Linked DNA regions of Drosophila melanogaster. Changing the gene in region 3 together with the main gene of any one other region gives a genetic interaction. Each region holds a gene or a part of one and is shown on either strand. Other genes may lie near its edges.

Region 1 (3,757 bases), on a different chromosome or scaffold from region 3:
CAAGACTAATAATCTATTAAATTTACTATAAAACTTAACTAGTAAGTTCCGCCTCTAAAATTTCCATTTTAGCCAAAGTCGAGGGCTAGTTATTATCTGCACATATCTTTCCTATCTGCCATGAACTCAACCGTTATCTTGTTTGCCAACCTTTTATGCGTCTTACAATGGCATCTACTTTTCCAACTCTTCCAAAGATAATATTGTCCTCTCTGGCAGCTGGCTAATTAGGGTACAATGAAATCAGGACAATATCTCTAAATAATATGGGTTTAGTTACTTGCAAATGCAGAACACTTTTTAAACGGAGTATATCTTCTTTTTGCAGGAGATGCCACTGATGCGAGAACAGGATCGACCGAGAAGCGAATCACCTTCACCCTGGCTCCCAGTTCGGCCGAATGCTCGCCGTCGGGTAGCCAAACGACACTTACTCCCAAAAAGTTCGAGGCCATTGCCGAGGAGGAGAAGGAGGACGACAAGGCCGATGAGGAGGAGGAGATCATGGAGGAGGTGGTGCTGCGACCTCGCCTCATCGACCGGCATCCTCATCTGCTGGCCAACCCCAGTGGACTGACGACCACGCCCAAACGGATCCTGCGATCCGCCAAGAGCGTTCCGCACATGAATGTCCGTTCGTCGGCCAGTGAGACGGATATATTCTCCATTAGCGGTACGATGACCGGAAGCAGTCAGATCAGCATGACGCCGGAGGTGCCATCGATATCGTTCAGTAATCTGCCTAAGAACTACGAGGACACGCCCACTATTGAGAAGTACCGGGTATCGCAGAGTCTCTATTCCATTCAAACGGCGAATGCTGCTCGGGCCACACAGGATGATTACTCCATGCCGCGCTACTTCCGTCGATCTGCCATGCTATTGACCCAGAGCTCTGAGGTGCTGCCCGGCGCCAGTTCACTGGCCTCCATGTCGCCATCGATGGCCTCGTCCTCTGCCTCGCCCGGGTCCTCCAAGGACGAACTGCGACGGCCAGAGAAGGAGAAGAGCAAACGACTCCAGATGCTGCGTGGCAATCTACCGCCCTTACTTATTCATTCCGTGTCCTTCAAACGAAATCGCGACGAGGGCAAGCAGGTTGACTAGTCGCACTGCAGATATACATATTTATTTGTTAATCACTTTGTCCATGTTTTTAATGTTTTAAATTTATTAGCCTTTAGTACCTGCTTATGCGTTTTCTGTATTATCTTCTAAGCAATGACCTTGTCCAAACAATTCCTCAGTATTCAGATGTACTTCATTTTGAATTAATGATTGATATTACAAAATAAATTGTATTTTACCACAAAAAACAGCGATTAAAGATCCTACTTAATAAATCTTTATAAAAATCTAAACGATATCTATTTGTACCATTTTAAAAGAAATAAATGCGAGCTTGAAAAAAAATGCACTTATCTCCCCGACGGGGAATTGAACCCCGGTCTCCCGCGTGACAGGCGGGGATACTAACCACTATACTATCGAGGATGTTATACAAAGTGAGTCAAACTCGGGTTTTCCGTTTGCGGAGTGTGAATGCTTGTTTCAATTTCATCTGTTCCCCATTTGTACTCTGAAGACAGTGTGCAAGCTCGAGACGGTTGTTTGACAGTGGGTAGACAACATCCTCGATAGTATAGTGGTTAGTATCCCCGCCTGTCACGCGGGAGACCGGGGTTCAATTCCCCGTCGGGGAGAGATGTAAAAATTACTTTTTGTTGATTGTTTTAATTTATTAATTTAATTTTTTAATTTTTTAATTTCAAAATTTAAGTAATGCAATACATGTTTCAGACCAACAAATTAAAATAAAAAATTGCACCATATAGCTTAAAAAAACGTCAAACATGTATATTTAATTAGGTCATCCTGGAAGTGATATATAATGAAACACATTTCAACGGGTATATAAGTTTTGTTAAGGGGTAACTGTAAGCCGGACCCATTTAGCTTACCACCCAATATGGTAGCACTGGCTGTAGAAATTCCCAATGGCAACGCTAGTCGACCAGTTTTCATTCGTATTGGCGTGTGTGTTGTTTGTACAACAAAACATTCTAGTTGTTTTATTTGCAAGGTGCTCATATAAAAACATAAACAATATATTTCGTAGAGTGCCCTAATAATTTATTAAGTTGTGAATTAAACAAATATGAATAAGAAGCGTGTCCAAGTGAATTGGTTAAATTGTAAATTATAAATAAAGCAATACATATAAACGGCCGGCAAAACAGAGAGCGCGTTTTAAGAGAGAACCTAATAGGAAAAGAGTGTAGAGCTGCCAGGTTTCAATTAGGTACCAGGTACCAAACGTATTTATTATTCGAGAAGAACTATTTTTGGTGACTAAATATGGTTTCTGATTATAGAAGTGTTCTCCTAATATATAATTTTTAAAAATTTTTTTCTACACGTGCCCTCAGATTGTTGATATTCAAAATTCGTACACAAACGCCCTTGACAGGCGCAGTCTCACCCGCGCCCACTGAGAGCGGAACGACGGAAATTTCAAACATTATTTCTATTTTCTATTTGAATTGAAACTATGTATTTTCCATAATTTTCAAAATATTCTTGATTTTTTTTGAATAACTAAATTAATTATTTTAAGTATCGCGAGGGAGAATAAGAGTTTAAAGCGGCCGATTATATTGAGGGGGAGTTTCAGTCAACGAAAAGGAAATAGTGAGAGGAGAGGGCTTATTGAAGAGAGCCTCTCATTTTAAAATTTCTCTTTAAGCGTGTTCCTTCTAAAGGACACAAGAAACTAATATGTTTATGAAATAAGAAACTTAACCGTGTATGTGTTTTCCAATTTTGCGTGAACAAATAAAAGAGCTCAAGCATTTTATCGTTTGAGTAATTTTAGATAAAAATTTATTAATATTTTTTAATGTTTTCAATTTGCCATAGACAACATTTTTTCCAATAAAATTCGGTAATATAAATAACATGGTGTTATGGCCTGCAATTTTTATATAAATTTTTAGTAGCACGCTCTTAGTTTAATATTTAGGTCAATAAAATAATTATCCTTATTGTTTTTTTTTTTAATTTGCATATTGTTTGTTGACCAGCTGTTAAGAGAAGAGAGGAGAGAGAAAAAGAGAACCGAAAAAGTGACCGTTCGCGACTTCGCAGTCAGCGCTGGAAAACGCACTAACGCGCGGAAAATGCCCTAGCGCCAGAGAAAGTGCCATTTGAGACTGAACTCTCTTTCGTGCGAGTTCCCTTTTCATTCGAAAATTTAACGCCCGCGCTGCTGCAGCGCGTTGTTGCTCCGGTTGGAAAATATCTGAAAACAGCATTAATAAATAAACAAAAATATTGGATAAATCGCCGGTAGAAACGCTGCATAAAACGAAATTTGGTTTCTTGTAAAATATTATTTTTCAAGATATTTTCTTGTTAATTTCCGGATATTCGACAAGGATATAAATGTTTCTTTCGCGTTGATAAACAAATTCCAGCACCGCTACCTTTGTGTCGCGCAATTGTGAAAAGTGATTTGTCCATTGTGTACATTAATTAATAAATTGGTAATTGCTCAATTTAGAAACATGTGCAATCGAGAGCTAGTGTGAGTGTTTGTGTGCAACAATAATAAAGCCGAAAATTGCCCAATTGCAATTGGCAATCACAACAAAATTGGAATATTATGGCACATTAGAAAAAGAAAATAACGAAAACTGTGTTTCCACCCAAAGTTTAGGCCGCAGCAGAGCGAATCCACAAAAATATACAATTTCGG
Region 2 (3,757 bases), on a different chromosome or scaffold from region 3:
GGCGAGCGGTGGCCACTCCGCCATGGCAATGTCCAGCCTTCAGCACGCTTGGGAACTTGGTGAATTGGAACTGCAAGTGCACGGAGAGAAAGAATTTATAATTTAGTTAGTTTAGTTTTTAACCATGTTTTTATGATGGTTTTCTATTGAGGCGAGCACGATATATTGTGATTATCCCAAATAAATATGTCATAATCTCAAAGTGAATATTAATAATTTTAGGACTAATCTGACTAATCCAAAAAATTGAATAGTTTCAGATTTTATAAATAGCCTTTAAACATTTTTAGAAAAGTTTTATAGACCTCGCTTTAATGACTGACATACTTTATGGTACATTAAGTTAAATAAAAAAAATGTATATATTTAAAACACTTTCTTCTTGTGTTGGGAATAAAGACACCGAGGCAATCACAATATGTTTTTCACTGTCTGATTGAAATTCTATAAATTACAATATACCGATGAGCTCTTTACTTCCATTTTTTCTCATTTTATTTTCTGCGGAAATCAAGGGGCGATGCTTATTAATCCATTGGATAAGTGCCAAATTCATTGGTTGTTTTTGCCCTCATTCCGATCACGAATCTGGCCATGGAAATTTTCTTTTGATTTGCCAGACGAATTCCAAGAATCCTCGATCATTAGTCAGGCAGGAACATTTCATGAAAATACCTTATAGTTATTAATGGCGCATGCAAATCACTATTAAATATGCAACAGCAACAATGCCCAGCCCTCAAATATTTGACTAATTCGCATTTTATTAATTTTACATCGTTGCTCATGGTTATTACATTTATATATGCAAATCGCCAACCGATTACCCTTGTTAATCATCTCTCCCAGACCCAAAGCCATATTTAAACAGTTGATAAATCACAAGTAAACACATGGGCTTAATTTTGTGTTGCATTGGCAGAGAATGAATAAATCAAAATAAAACCAAATGGAAAACCATAACAACCATGACGCAGCTCGAAGAATTGTCGCAATTGCCGCCGATGAAAGACCGTCCTGTTGACAGAAAGCCCCAAACAAACAGAGTGCGAGAAATCTCTCAATGAACATAAATATATATAGGTATCTGAGATGTATCTGGACCGAGAATAAGAGTGACTATCAGAATGAGACGTCACACCCCCACATAGCCAGCATTCTTGGAAGCTGCTACGTGTTCCGCCTGAGTACCCACCGTCTAGGGAACTGCATCTCGGTTATATCAGCGGACTTAAAATATGCACTGTGACGCATTCGTAGTGCCCTGAAGCGGGTTCATCGATTGACAGTGGTGTCTGGTGTATAAGTGCACAGGAAGAAAACGATTTAAATAAGTTTCAACATTGGCACAGACCACTATACTGATCACAATTGTAAAACCCTATTATATTAAATCTTATAATTTTGTAATATTATTATAATATTCTTAAGCCATCAGTAGTGCAACGTTAAGTATCCCCAACCGTTTCTCGCCGTGTAGATCTGTAGTGCGGTGGCGTTACCGGGTCGGGTATGCAGATTATGGCAACGTGCTGTAGGTGGAGCATGGAGTATGATATGAAGCATGACCGGAGCAACAGCACGTGTGTGCGCCACATGGTCAGAGGAAGAGGAAGTTGGATCTCTGGCGAGTTTACGACTGGGCATAGCTGAATTATTAGTTGATTTGCGGCCTGACAGATGCGCTATTCTCTGCCGTTTCGTGTGGCGATCTCTTTTTGGCCATGGCGCCAAGTAACTACAACTATGCATATTGTATGCTATTATATGGCCGAGAGCATAAACCAGGCCCCTGCACGCAATTAATAAAGCTGCCAAGGTAACAAAATAAACGCAAAGAAAAATGCAATCGACTCTCCTCCACTTTCCACTCATTTGGGGCGAATTTATGGCGCTTTTGATCGCCCGACTGCCGCAAGAAACACTCAAGTTATAAAGACACGAGTGGATTCGACTCAAACGATCGATCGATCCGATCTCTCACTTCCCGAACAACTTGAGTGAAGAAAACAGTCGAATCGGTTGACTTGACGATCCAGTGCAGAACCGCAAGCGCAGCGAGCTAGAACGCCACAAAATCGGCGACGGAAAAATCGCGACATCGTACGAGATATATAGTACCAAGTAGTATAAAGTGCTGACGAGTCGAATCGAGTGCGAGTGCGAGTGCGAGTGCCGGTGAAAATACATTCAATTGTTTTTCCCGATTTTTGTGCCCTCGGGTTCAAGTGTTTAAAAGCCTGAAGTGCTAGTTTTACACACAAAATAGGTTGCAGCTTAAAGGTAACAAACTAGGCTTATTTTGCTAATTTTTGGTAATTTAAGAATTGAGTACTTGAATGCTTAATTGTGTTAATTTATTTTAAAAATTTCCGCATTGCCAAGTGTTGTGTCAGAAGTTAAATAGCCGGAATAAAATGGTTTGCTTATTTTTCCGCAAACAGAATTTTCATATATGTTTGAAAGGCAAAAAAAAGTTTCAGCTCAAAGAGCAGATTCAAAATAGCTTTTGTGGAGTTTTTAGCTAGAAATATTTTAAAATTAATTTTCTCTTATCAATTGATTTTTAAACTTTTCTCTTCTTTGATGCATTTTCCCCTGAGGTGCAAATTTCCACCTCAAAAACAAGTTGCAACTCAAAAGCCAAAGTACACAGCCATGTTTGTTTTTATTTTATTTTAGTTTTAGTTTTAGAGTTGTTTGGCATTTAGAAGATTGAAATTGAAATTGAAGGTATGCAAAACGCGCGACACAGACGCGTTGTGTATTTTATTTTGGGGCTATTTAAAACGCGCAGTGGGAAATGTGCCGACGTGACACAGCGACACAGTTTTCCAACGAAACGCTCATTTCTATTTATTGGCGTTTATTTATAATTTGTTTTTATTTGCCTAGCTGTGCATCTGCCTTCCCTGATCTTTTGGAGCGCCCCGAGTTTTCTTCTGGCCTTTCGAATTGTCTTAATAGTTTTTATTGTCGCCAATTTGTAAACAAACTGCAGGCCATTAAGAAATATACAACTAGTTTGCTTGTGCAATCCAGTCTGATCGTAAAGCCCATTTGAATCTGTGATGTACAAGTAACAATTTTGTTGGATGTCAAGGAAAGCGAAACGGTTGTGTGCGCCAGAGGTATTTCCATATTACGCATACGTCATGTGTGTTTTGGCATTGGCCATTTAGTGTCTAAAAATAAAGAAAAACATTTAATGCTTCTCGACTCTCACAAAAAAAAAAAAAACACCAATAAAATGTACAAGCACATCACAAGGGAGGGGAGTAAAGACTTCTCCAGGGAAATGCATTTCAAGTGGGTTTTCCCCTTTCTTTTCCATTGAGTTTTCTTTTGACAACTCGCATTGTTTCGCATGGATATTCATAATTTCGTTTTCCTTCATTTGACTTTGGATTCACTGTTGGCTTTTCGTTTTGTTTGTGCGCCATTTAAATGAGCTTGTATTTCGTATTGGCTTTTCAGCTTTTCTGGGATATTATATACTACGTTGACTTTTATTTTCTTTTTTTTTGCCATCAGATAACACTTATTATCGAATGGAATTTAAATTTCTAAAGTCTGCTAATTTTTGAATTGAATGCATTGTTTGCTTTTCTTACGACACATATTGCCATATGGCACCTTAACATTATCTTAACCGCAATTGCTTATTGAGGGAGAGAAAATCCGGTTAGTAGGCTACACTGAAATAAAAAAAAAATGTGTCCTAAAGATACTAGAGTGTTTGTACTCATCATGGTCA
Region 3 (3,757 bases):
CCCATACCCATACCCATATTCGTAGTCGTACGAAGTCCATAATGAATATGTCACGAACTTGCACCCGCTGATCTTAAATCGGCGACTGTTTCGATACTCCCGACCAGCTCAAGGGGTATGGAAGTACTTAAGCTAACGATAAAGATACGGCTATCAGCAGTTGTAGCGAAAGCCAGTAAACAAGAAAGATAGTGCAATGATGCAGTGAATCATTGAAGAGTTACTAACCTCTCGGAACGCTCACACCGAGCCGCACTATCTTGTGTTTCCTTCCGCTGGAAGCTTCCGATAACTGCTTTCTCGCTCCTGACCATGGGTCTGCCTTTTCTATCAAAACTACCATTGAGTAATAGGTGTAACAACATCGAACTGATAAGACGATTTTATATATATTGATGTCGCAACTTCGAAAATTACTCACCTTTCGATGGCCCGACCATGTATCATCAGTAATTTTGTCATTTGTACTTTATTTGGGTCAGCCGCAGATCAAAAATCGGTTTTGCATTCAATTTCGTGGCCAATTAGCACTTGAACCCAAGACCTCAGTCTAAGTTCAGAAATTGCCGGCAAGTTGTTTCGGATATCTGTGTGTACATACAGTGGTGCACGCCACTAAACGATCATGTTTCGAAATGAAATACATTTGAATGTGATAATACCAAAATATGATTTTACTATCTCTTACCCCGTGGGGGTTATATATTTATGATAAACTTGCATTTATCGCAGAACATATACATTTTCAAAACAATCATTTATAGATTTTATAGCATTTCGACTCATCAAGGGACTAGATCTACTGCGGTTCTAGATTGGCTATGATTAAGTGACAGTAAATTGAGTTTAAGTGGACATTGATATTGGATATATCAAGGCTGCTTATGCAAGAGCATTATCAATGACTATTTGGGATTTCCAAAAGATTGTGAATGGAAAAAGATAATCATCCTTTCGAATACTACGTTGAGTAACCGGCAGCGGCTAACATTCGTATTTTGATTCATTCAAAAATATAACCGGCTTGGTGAATAATACTCTGCAGTATATGATAACAAGTACCCAAGAATATATGGGCTTTTTTTTTTTTGATCTGGGTTTTTTATTTTCGAGGGTGTGGGTGTATTCATACTTATTCATAAATATTAGAAATCAAATGTAGCTAACTCATATCGATTCATTATTTTTTAGATTTTAGTTTCCTTTTTCATGGAACTACTCGATCAATCAATATTTAACGCCATCTGCCTTGTGTTTATTGTGCAATAGGCAAATGTCCCAACTTGGCGGAAACGTGTTAGACTGACACTTTTTAGGTAGCCAAAATCGAAGAGTATAAAGTAGCCAAAAAATATTAATATCGAAGAGCAGAGAGAAATATTAATATACACTTAAGAAAAGAACCTACCCAAAGTCACACAGACCAACATAATTTGAAATATTTGAAGCTATTATACTATTTAAAAAAAATTTTGTTTATTATTGTTTTACAATAAAATACCAAAAATCAAATCATAAGAGTATATGGTATAAAATTATAATGAATGTAGCAATAATTTATATACTGCTACCGATTTAAGTTTAAATTAAATTAAATTAATTAAATTACTTTTTTATGAGTCAAATATAATAACAAAGTGGAAAATACATAAATGTCTTTGACCACGGTGTTTGTACTTTCAGTTTTAATATAATTCTTTCATATGTAAAAAGGAAATTTTAAATACATTGGATTTCAGATCTCTAAATAAAAAACTATACAAATACGGATGAACAAAGTTATAGGCTCAGAATTTAAAAAGATTATTACGAAAAAAAAAATGTTTTTTGCTGCCTAATTTAAAATAATTTTTTAAAATCCTTTAGAGCCTCTTGGAATTCGTGCTTTTTCTTTCTGTGCCCCCTTAAGAGCGTGAGACAAGAGCGAGTTTCTTCTACTCTTACGTATTTTCATAAATCAACCGCGATCGCTGGCATATCCGCCCAAATGAAGAGAAGCTACTCTGTATTTTTGTGCTCTTTGTGCCCGCCTCTTCAAGTCGCTTCACGTCGAGGCAAGTCAGCAGTTCAGTCACATTTAGACATCCGCGCGGTAAACCCGCTTTCGGCGGTATAACGAGATTTTTTATTTCGAATTCGACAGAAACAAATAAATGTAAAAAGGAGAAATTGAGATTTATGCTTGCACAAAACACGCGAATAAAAGAGCACCGCCCACTTCTAGCGTTTTCTTTTGTGGGGTGAACAAAGCGACGTAACGGTTGACAGGAATCGGGTAACGCGAATCGGGAATCGGTGTTGGTATCGGGCATATACTAAAAAACGGATGAACAAGGAAAGTCTTTCCTTTGTGCAGCCACTGCGTGCTAATTAATTGTGTTTTTGTGGCCAAGTGGCATTCTATAGTGTGCATTCTATACACACCAAATTTAAATTCTATCCAGCCCAACCCAACTCAACGCCCCCAGCTCCTTGTTTTCCCACCATTCGTATGCGTCATATGTAAAAGAGCGCAAAAGGGCGGAAGGCACAGAGAGAAAGGAAAGCCAAGGAAAGAAGCAGTGGCCACAACAAAGCGGCAAGCACAAAACGCCAGAACAAGAAGCGCCAAACGGAAAAACGGGAATACCCCCGCCCAATCCCCACCGCTCCCCGCCACAACCCATCGCTCCTTCCGTTGTTTTTGTTGCTGCTGCAGCTGTATTTATGCTGCCGGGTATTCGTGTGAGTGCCGCCAATGCGCATGTGTGTCTGTGTCAACCCCCGCGGCCGAGGCGACAACAATAGCAAAAACAACAACAGCAGCGAAACTAAAACAAAAGTGAAAAGTTCAATTCCCAGCTTAGCACTACGAATTGTTAGTCCACCACATCGGTTAATTAAGCCTCGAACATAGAATAAAGATAAATACACAGTTTTGTTCCTACTGATCGAGGAATAGTTTCGTGTCCAAGTGTTTTCGTTGCGCGAGCGAAAGAGAGCGGCGAAATGTTTTCCAAATATGTTCTCGCCACCCTGCTCGCACTCTTTGCGCAATCCATGTGCATCCAGGAGCTGTCCCTCCCACCCGAAGGATCTCACTCCACCGCTGCGACCAGGTCCAAGAAGGCAAAAACCGCTATCTCCGAGGATATAATGGTAAGGCTCCAAATTTGAAAACTTCGATTTTTCCGAACCCAGCTTTTTTAAGCTCTATAAGATGATATATCGTATCGATCAAGTTAGTAAATTTGGGTGTTTATACAAAGTGCATCGACTGAAATGAAAATAATTCCCCAAAATAAAACGCAATGCAATCAATCATCCTACATATATCTGATGGTAAATGCTTAAGCACTGTTTGACCCAATTGCCATTTCAATAAAAATTCATCAATAATTGACATTTGAATCCCTAGAGCTGTTGGAAATCGCACAATGTTTGCAATAAAAATTGTAAAAGCAATTATTGAATGTGACATAAATAATTAAACAATGTAAATAGGAAGTTAAAGAGCAAGAAGGTAAATTAGAAAGGGGACAAAGGAAAACAAAATTAGCCTACAGTAGGCGCATTTTCATTCCGGCGGCTCAGATACTCAATCCGTATCTCCGCATTTGGTAGCAGACAGTAAATCGAGAGGCGGGTTAAGTACAATCGAGATAGACGGATCTGAAGGCCCCCAGCACACATATCCCCCCCTCCCCCTCACTCCACGATGCAGATGCTGCTGTGGCTGCTCGAGCCTATGACCTCAAAATCCCAAAATGCTCTACAT

Evidence for each region.
Region 1: of Mmp2 (region 3) and Sema1a, changing one suppresses a phenotype caused by changing the other (phenotypic suppression), as found in Drosophila melanogaster (one study listed by BioGRID).
Region 2: of Mmp2 (region 3) and Timp, changing one suppresses a phenotype caused by changing the other (phenotypic suppression), as found in Drosophila melanogaster (3 studies listed by BioGRID).

The regions. Positions count from the first base shown.
Region 1 is NT_033779.5:8,540,130-8,543,886, forward strand, and holds the start of Sema1a (semaphorin 1a), read left to right. Parts: upstream 1-2,017; 5' UTR 2,018-2,083; intron 2,084-3,083; exon of another isoform or gene 3,084-3,586; intron 3,587-3,757. Other genes in the region: CG17834 (uncharacterized protein), read left to right, coding at 329-1,107. UniProt on the Drosophila melanogaster protein: Involved in growth cone guidance through its role in axonal repulsion. Function in neurons is essential for adult survival, motor neuron survival, and is important for climbing behavior and activity.
Region 2 is NT_033777.3:10,211,285-10,215,041, reverse strand, and holds the start of Timp (tissue inhibitor of metalloproteases), read left to right. Parts: upstream 1-2,034; 5' UTR 2,035-2,283; intron 2,284-3,757. Other genes in the region: Syn (synapsin), read right to left, coding at 1-70. UniProt on the Drosophila melanogaster protein: Metalloproteinase inhibitor that acts on both matrix metalloproteinases Mmp1 and Mmp2 in vitro. Complexes with metalloproteinases and irreversibly inactivates them by binding to their catalytic zinc cofactor.
Region 3 is NT_033778.4:9,682,164-9,685,920, reverse strand, and holds the start of Mmp2 (matrix metalloproteinase 2), read left to right. Parts: upstream 1-2,062; 5' UTR 2,063-2,988; coding exon 2,989-3,138; intron 3,139-3,757. UniProt on the Drosophila melanogaster protein: Has metalloproteinase activity. Proteolytically cleaves the PGRP-LC receptor; involved in gut-fat body innate immunological communication (GFIC)-mediated activation of the imd/Relish signal transduction pathway.